Drosophila melanogaster: one gene and its partner. The protein of the gene in region 2 interacts with the protein of the main gene of each other region in a pairwise test. Each region holds a gene or a part of one and is shown on either strand. Other genes may lie near its edges.

What was found.
Region 1: the proteins of Ets97D (region 2) and St4 interact in a two-hybrid assay, tested with the Drosophila melanogaster proteins (one large-scale study listed by BioGRID).

What each region holds. Positions count from the first base shown.
Region 1 is NT_033778.4:13,969,377-13,972,908, reverse strand, and holds St4 (sulfotransferase 4), read left to right. Parts: upstream 1-1,645; 5' UTR 1,646-1,781; coding exon 1,782-1,866; intron 1,867-1,933; coding exon 1,934-2,168; intron 2,169-2,223; coding exon 2,224-2,555; intron 2,556-2,604; coding exon 2,605-2,993; 3' UTR 2,994-2,999; downstream 3,000-3,532. Other genes in the region: CG18568 (uncharacterized protein), read left to right, coding at 232-1,236; PheRS-m (Phenylalanyl-tRNA synthetase, mitochondrial), read right to left, coding at 3,070-3,237, 3,307-3,532.
Region 2 is NT_033777.3:26,910,239-26,914,818, forward strand, and holds Ets97D (Ets at 97D), read right to left. Parts: upstream 2,649-4,580; 5' UTR 2,523-2,648; coding exon 2,459-2,522; intron 2,382-2,458; coding exon 2,267-2,381; intron 2,206-2,266; coding exon 2,136-2,205; intron 2,081-2,135; coding exon 1,366-2,080; intron 1,305-1,365; coding exon 874-1,304; coding exon of another isoform or gene 814-873; 3' UTR 537-813; downstream 1-536. Other genes in the region: T48 (transcript 48), read left to right, coding at 1-229.

The DNA.
Region 1 (3,532 bases), on a different chromosome or scaffold from region 2:
GGGTTTTGAATGCATTTCGAGTAAGGGTTTAGATAAGTATGATTCCATACCAAGTAGGCCTTTATAACGACTTCAGTGTCGGGCCTTAAGCTCTATGGCTTAGTACATTCGTTTTTCGTTACCGATTTCAAACAATTGAACTTGTAAAAATAAAAGTATTAAAGCTAACTAAAAATTTTAAGTATATACAACTGCCGCAGTAACGCAGGATACCAATAACCCATTGACGTAATGCATTCAGCCGGTAGGAGCAGTGGGCAAAGTGCGGGCTCAACACCCCGAGGTGGAGGACCCAACACCATCTCCGGGGCCACAGTGCGTTCCAAGTTAGCGGCACCTCTATCGACGCAGACGGCGGGAACACGGCGAACTGTTCACGGCGGAGCGGGCGATGGGGGAACCGATGCGGCTTGGAAGCAGACCGGTCGTCGCCTTGGCAAGCATAATCCACCTTCTCGGCTGGTCCAGCCCACGGTAGCCTCTTCGCTGAGGGCCAGCAGCAACAGGCAGACGGCCAAGCAGAAGTTCGAGAGAGCGAGAGGACATGAGAAGTCCAGATTAGTGGTGCCCTTGGCCAAGGACACCGAAACGGAAGTCAGGAAGCCAACGAAACAGCGTGTGATGTCGCAAGCGGCCAAACAGGCGGCACGGGATCGTCTCTGGCCCAGCAAACCGGCGGGCGTGGGTTTGAACTCGAATTTCCGCAAGAATAGGCAGCCAGTGCCAGAGGATTCCAATATTTTGCCGGATGTCGAGGAGGAGTCAGAATCGAAGGCGTCCAAGTCTCAGCAGCTACTGGAGACCGGCGTCCAGACGAATGAGTCTGAGATCCTCGATCATAAGCTAATCCTTGGCGAGGTGAAGATGGTATGCCCCTCCGCGCAGCTGGTCGATCAAATAGATCGGGAACGGCTCGAGCTTAAGGAGGAAAGAGAGCGACAATCATCGCGCAGGTTTGCTGCTCACGAGCAGCAGGAGGAACTGCATCTGGACGAACTGAAGGAGTTCTCGTTCCGGAATGCCGTGACCAAGAGGGCGCCCAAGAAGCCACCAACGCACCAGTACGCTCGCTATGATAATCAGTATCAGAACGTTTTCAAGTCCATGGACGATTTCTTCAGCCGGGTCCAAAACTCTATGCCCAAATCAGAGTCCGTGTCCACCATCCAGGATCGCATCAAGCGCAAGGAAGAGGAGCTGCTCAGGCTCTTCGACAACGTCGAGCTAAACGAATAATCTAAAAACTATAGGAAATTCTATATCAAATTGTCTGTGTCGTGCACGTAAAGTAGTAGTCCTTTTCAATTCAATGGTCATTTATGACTTTTAATGGGTGCTTGGGTTTTATGATATATGAGTGGTATGTTCTATAAAAAAAAAGAATTTTGGACTTCAAAACTGAGACTAACTGCCGATACAAATCAAGAATATATATATATATACGTTTAAGAACTGGTTATTTAGGTTATAACTTTGAGGCTTATTTTACTCCAACAACATTATATCGCCACTGTTTATGATCCAATAAAAGCCGTCTGAGCTAACTAATGGCTTGGAACCACACCTTTTGGGGAAAATTCAGCGTCAGCAAGTACACAGACATTAACTGAAGTCGTATTTAAATTGAGCTTAGCCAAGCGGCAATGGAGTGCCATACTAGCCAGGCCAGCACCAGCACCAGCACCAGCAGCTGACACTTTCTCTCTGGGCCGAAAGCGGGGTCAAGACGCTTTCATGACGGGCGGTTCTTCAGTCAACGCTGGCAACTGATCGCGCGAGCAATGGAAAATACGCCTCTCAAGTTTCCACACGAAATTCGCGATGTGGAGGAGTCCACCAATGCTGAGCTATTGGATCACTTCCATGGTATGTTTATAGCGCGCAAATGGCTTGTGATGCACCTAGTATATAAAAAATAAAAAAAAAAAAACAGGTGAGCGAACTGGCTTCGTTCAGGTCGGATCGGAGGGTTACTTCTTTCCGCACAAGTACAAGGACGAGGCCGAGCGGTACTACAACTTTGAGGCACGGCCGGATGACGTGTGGATAGCCACGGTGCCCAGATCGGGCACCACTTGGACGCAGGAGCTCATTTGGCTGGTGGCCAATGGGCTGGATTTTGAGCATGCCCAGGAGCGACCACTAACCGAACGCTTTCCATTCTTTGAGTGAGTGCTTGTCGCGCGATCCTATCTTAATTAAGTGAACTCCAACCGCCCTTAGATTTCCGCTCTTTGTGCATCCCAAAATTAAGGAAGAGCTGCAGGAGGAAAACCGAGACTCGGCTGAAGCTCTGGAGTTCATTGAGAAGATAGCTCGACCGGGTTACGAGGCTTTGAGCGAAATACCACGCTCGCAGCGACGGTTTATCAAAACGCATTTCCCCTTTTCTCTAATGCCGCCTAGTGTTCTCGAAAAGAAGTGCAAGGTGATCTATGTGGTTCGTGATCCCAAGGATGTTGCAGTTTCCTACTACCATTTGAACAGACTCTTCCGCACCCAAGGATACGTCGGAGATTTTGAGCGTTACTGGCATTATTTCCAAAACGGATTAAGTAAGTGATCCTTCGATGGAGTTGCCATCCTTAACCAACTATCTTTCAGATCCCTGGCTGCCCTATTACAGTCACGTTAAGGAGGCGCGGGAGCATGCCCATTTGTCCAATGTACTCTTTCTGCGCTACGAAGACATGTTGGCTGATCTGCCAGGTGCAATCAACAGCATAGCCAGCTTCTTAGAGTGTCCACCGAAACCCGAGGATATGGATAGGCTACTCGATCATCTGAGCATCAGAAGCTTCCGTGAGAACAAGTCCGTAAACATGCACGAAATGGCTTCCGTTGGCGTTCTCAACAAAGGAGAGGCAGGATTCGTGCGCAGCGGAGCCAAGACAGCGTATCAGCCGCAACAGGAGTTCGTGGAGAATCCGAAGCTTTTGAAGAGCGCCAACGAGTGGGTGGAACAGAATATTAAATCATTCAAGACCATATGAAATACCTGACTTTGTTGGCTATCTTTACTGGTGTTTTTCTTTTTTGGTTTTGAATTGAAACGGAACTAGACTATGACTAACGTATTTGCACATTGAAACTATCCACGCTCGCACTAGCGATCTGCTTGTGGATTTCGTTGACCTCCGCCTGGGTTAAGGTGCGCTCCATATGGCGATAAACAATGCGGAAGCACACGCTCGATTTCCCCGTTTTCGGGTGCTTAAACTTGTCCACCAGACTGATCTGTAAGAAAAGTAAAGTATATGAGAAATACTCGTAACATATGATACGTTTGGGATAGCTAAGACCAACCTGCTCCACCATATCACCAGCTACAGAGCGGACTAGATCGTAAAAGTCGTTCGGCGAGAAGCCGGCATCCACCTCAATGTCCTGGGGCAGCCAGAACGACAAGTCATTCGTGCACTGCGGATAGTGGGAGATGGGCTTGTACTTGGGCAGATTGTGCAGATCCTTTTCGCTAAACTGCGACAGAAAGCCACTGTCGTTCGACCAGAAGAGCCGGATGTCAGGTATA
Region 2 (4,580 bases):
CGATCGGAGCAGCAGTGCCTCGGCGCAGCAGAAGCTACACCTGTTTGGCTCGCTGATCAGCCTGCACGAGTTCGAGGAGCCGCGGGCTTCGGATCCTTTCGGCAGCAGTTTCAACACGCTGAAGAGCGGCAATCTCATCTCTGATCTCAACGCCAGCTCGCTGTGGCTGGAGGACGAGTTCTACAAGCTGGGCTTTCGACCGCAGGACGAGATCACCACGGAGCTGTAACCGCATCACAAAACTCATACTCAAAACTTAATGCAAACTAAGTATTACCCCGGCTGGCGGCGCTAGCCGTTCGAGTCTAGCGCCAGTTCAGCTGGGGGAATGGAGCATTTGCGTGCACATTCCGACAGGCCATCATCGACTTCGACAAGCTAACTGGGAGGCCGTTTAGCCGGAGCCGCTAAATGCCCACGCTTAGAGCTTAGTTAGATCAGTTAAGCAAGCAAACTAGTCACGTAAAATCACAAACAAAACCATCAACACACAACGATGCCGAGGAGAAGGAGCTAATGCAAATGCAAATGGAAATCGCGTGGAAATGAATTTAGTTTTATGGATTTTACAAAAATCGCAACAATCATGTAACGAACAATATTCAATATACACACTATAGAAATACTATTCAGATAATAACTAAGATGATTAGCAGTATAAACGCGATACTTATAGCTATAGCTTATGTAGACAGAGATTATAAACCTTAGCGAATACGAAATGGATAATAAAATCGTGTGCCTTAGGATTGTAAAATATGTAACAATTTGTATTATTAACCAGGCGCCGTCATCCGACCAAGTCAGCCAACGCTAAGGCTCCTCGTACTTCCAGAGTATGTCGGGTTCCTCCTTGAGCTTCAGCTCGCCATGTCACGTGTCTTCTGTAATTGTTTCCGTTGCGGCTACGCGCTCGGGCGCCGTTTTCCCCTCGCTGACCAGCGTGGATAGCTCATTCGCATCATAGCCGATCAATAGCTTCAAATCGCAGTCAAATTTGTATGCGAATCGCTTGCCGGACACCTTGGAGATCATATCCCCATCGTAATAGTAGCGGAGAGCCCTTGATAGCTTTTCGTAGTTCATAGCGGGTTTGTTTTTCTTCTCGCCCCAAAGGCGTGCCACTCGATCCGGGTCAGTGAGCTTAAATTCTCCCTCGGTGCCCACCCACTCAATAACGTCCGTGTGCTCGCAGTCGGTGAGTATTTCGAGTAGGAACTGCCATAGCTGCACTTGTCCATTATTCCCGGAACCGATGGTAGTGTAGTTTGATGGATTCATGGATGACGTAGTACTTTCAACGGCTGTGAACGAAGTAGATATTGTTAGCTCATGCTTTGGTGTAACATTCACACGTCTACTTACAATCAGAGCTCTTGACTGACTGATAGGATTTCCGCATAATCCGCTGTTCAAGCGAAAGGCTGCCCCCTGAATTGGTCGATATGGAATTGGCCGACATGATTCTTGGTTGCTTGGGCTTACGCTGCTCCTCCGCTCGTTTGTGCACTACGGACACGAAATTACATTCTTTTAGCAGCTGGAGGTGGGTCCAGAAGATGTTGCCTGGATCACGGGGCAGCTTCTGATTGAATTCCTCGTGCGTCATTGCGCAGAGTTCCTGGCCATTCATTTGCCAGTCGCTCATGTTGATGCCAACTAGTTCGAACTGCTTGACGGCCCACTCCAGCCAGTACGTCACGTGTGCGTGTGTCCATTCGTTGGCCGCCTCGGGTATCTTCAGGCGTATTTGTTCTCGCTTAAACTTGCTGTCCAGGACCCAATTCAAGACTGGCTTGACATCCTTGCCCTCGACGGATTCCTCTTCGGAGTCTTCCTTGTGCATGCGCTTGAGTGGGGTTTTGATGGGGCTTTCGCTGGAGGAACTCTTCTGGCTGGCCGTTTCCGGCGGCGAGAGCTGGCCCACCACCTCCTCGGCCAAGGCAGCCAGTGCGGCCTCCGTGGGCTTCAGGACGTCGGCGATGTTAATGCGCTTGCGAATAGTTTGTATCTGCACGTTGATCTGGACCAGGCCTTCTCCCTTGACGCATTGGTCCACGAGATTCTTGTGCGATTCCAGCTGCAGGAGAGTGGGGGCTTAGGTAAACATTTTATTACGCCGCAGATAGACTCACCTCCTGCGCGTCCTGCAGCCAAAACGTGTAGTAATTCAGGCACACTCCTATCTTTTGCTCAACAAGTGATCTGTGGGTAGAAATGAGGGTTATTTGCATGACTAATGGGGGCCAGTCTTCGCCAGACTCACTTGAGCATGCTGAGCGGCTCCCGGATGTCCATGTGCACGATGATGATGTCGTCCGGCTCCGCCTCCGTCTCCACATCGATGCTATCCTCGAACATTTCGCTGGCAATCACTTCTTCTGCAAATTGTTTACAATTAATAATTCGGTGTAACAACAGGTGCGTCCCAATTGGGAAATGGCATCATTCCACTTACCCAGGGCACCGCCAACGCTGAGGCGGCGTATTAGCTCGTCCGACAAGTCATTGCTGCTGTTCATCGCGGCTTAAAATCGCAAATAACTGCCTATATTAACAAAATGTTTTTAACAAATTTGTCTCGTGGATTTATTGTTGCATCTTCAGTGTGACCGTGTACGTCGGGTGTGGCAATACCGAATAATACTAAGTGGCGTTGGTACAGGGCTGCATAGTCACTGGCCAGTATTGCCACCAATTCTATCAGATTTCAAAACTCTGGCGGTTCTTTTAAAAGTGATAAAAGTTTCGAAAAAATGTAAATATGAATGTAAGTTAGCAAGTCTGAAATACAATATTTGCTTTAATGATGAAAAAACTTAATAGCATCATATATATTTAAAGAAAAACATCAATTGTTATTTAGTTTTAAAAGAATACATGATTTTGTTATAGTTTTTACTGGCAAATATTTTGCCAGTTTTGAACTATTTTCAAGTTCCCTTTTCCTGTGTGGAAATTCATTGATCAAAAATTTCTTTCATCACCAGCTATTAATATTTTGAGCCTAACGATCTATAAAAATTAGCAATCTGGTGACAAAATGTGTGCTCGCCCCCTCAAGTGATTTCCTAGAAATGCCATCGAAATTAATTGAGGAATTCAATTCGCAACAACAAGTCGATGCTTAAGACACCCACTTGTGGTTGAGTGGTTTGCTCTTCATGCGATATCTTTTCGCCACTTTCTTTCGCTGCAAGACTCAATTGGCCGACACAATTGGCCATGTTTGTGCGTCGGCCTGACTAGGAAGCACTTGGGTGTTCCCACAGGCAAGTGAAGTGGCCAAGTGCTGCTCATTTTCAGCTAATGCTGATTAAATGCCCCGTAACACGATCAGTGGGTCAAAACGGCGGGACAATGAATGCCAATTGTGCTATGGAGCAGAGGACAGCCTCAAGTGCACAGAGTACTTGTTAACACAAGCGTTTTTCCATGTACCATGTACCGAGATATGGACAAAGACGGCTCCCGGCCTGAATAGTCCGGAGTTGGGAGCATTACCTCATGCTGTTGACTCAGTTGGCATAGTAGATGAACGATATTTGCTTGCGAATATCTTGCTGATGACAATGTTTGATTTTGATTTCGGTATTAGCTATAAGTGATTCAATGTCTGCCACGAATGTTCTGGCACATCATCATCCCCATATTGTGCAACCTTGCAACTTCATTTTCCCCTTTCCGTTTCGTGTCCGAAAACGAGGGAAACTAACAAGCCAGAGTGCGGATTTTGTTTTATTTGGGGACTAACTCTGCTTTGTTTACTTGCCAAGCTGTTGACTAATATTAGCCAGCTGGTCAAATTCAGGCGCTTCAGGTCAGTTTTTTTTTTGGTTTCATTTTGCGTACTTTCCAGCCATTTGAAGTTGAGTCATTGTCAAAGTCGTCTCATTTGGATATTATTAGATGTGAGTGGTAGTGAAATTTCTATCTTTCTTTCTCACCACACAAACCCTTATTACTCATTATATGCTAATGAGGACTTATCTCATTGCACGTTAAGTATACGCCGCATTGACCTTCTGGCAGATAGAAATCTATGCAGACCGAAAATTGTCTAGGTCATGACACCCAGCTGCAATGGGGCAACAAACAGATGAACGAAACCAGCCCAATGACAACGTGGAAAACTCACTCAAAACCGTTAGCGTACATAAAACTATGCGCAGTCATTGTGGCGCCTTTGACTGCCAGAAATTCCCATATATTCGGCTGCCAAGAACCGTCGAAATAAAAACACAAAAAAAAAAAAACAAGAAAAATAAAGGAAAACAACCCCTTGGGGTTTTCGCCTCTGGATTATTTGTCCGCCGAGCGTTCAACTCCACGGAATTGCGTCACTGGATGGCTAGAATTAAATCAATAGGGACAACTCCCACGCTGAGCACCAAAGTGGAGCACCAGAGCCCGGGACTTGGAGAATTTGCATTTCCGTGGCCCATACTGAATGGCCAGTATTTGGGTCGTCTAAGGATTGCTATCGCTATCGCTATTGCTATTGCTGCAAGGACATTTCAAAGGCGGTCGGCGTTTTCGTTTCAGCTTTCTTGCTCTTCGTTTCATAATTTCTGGTTTTT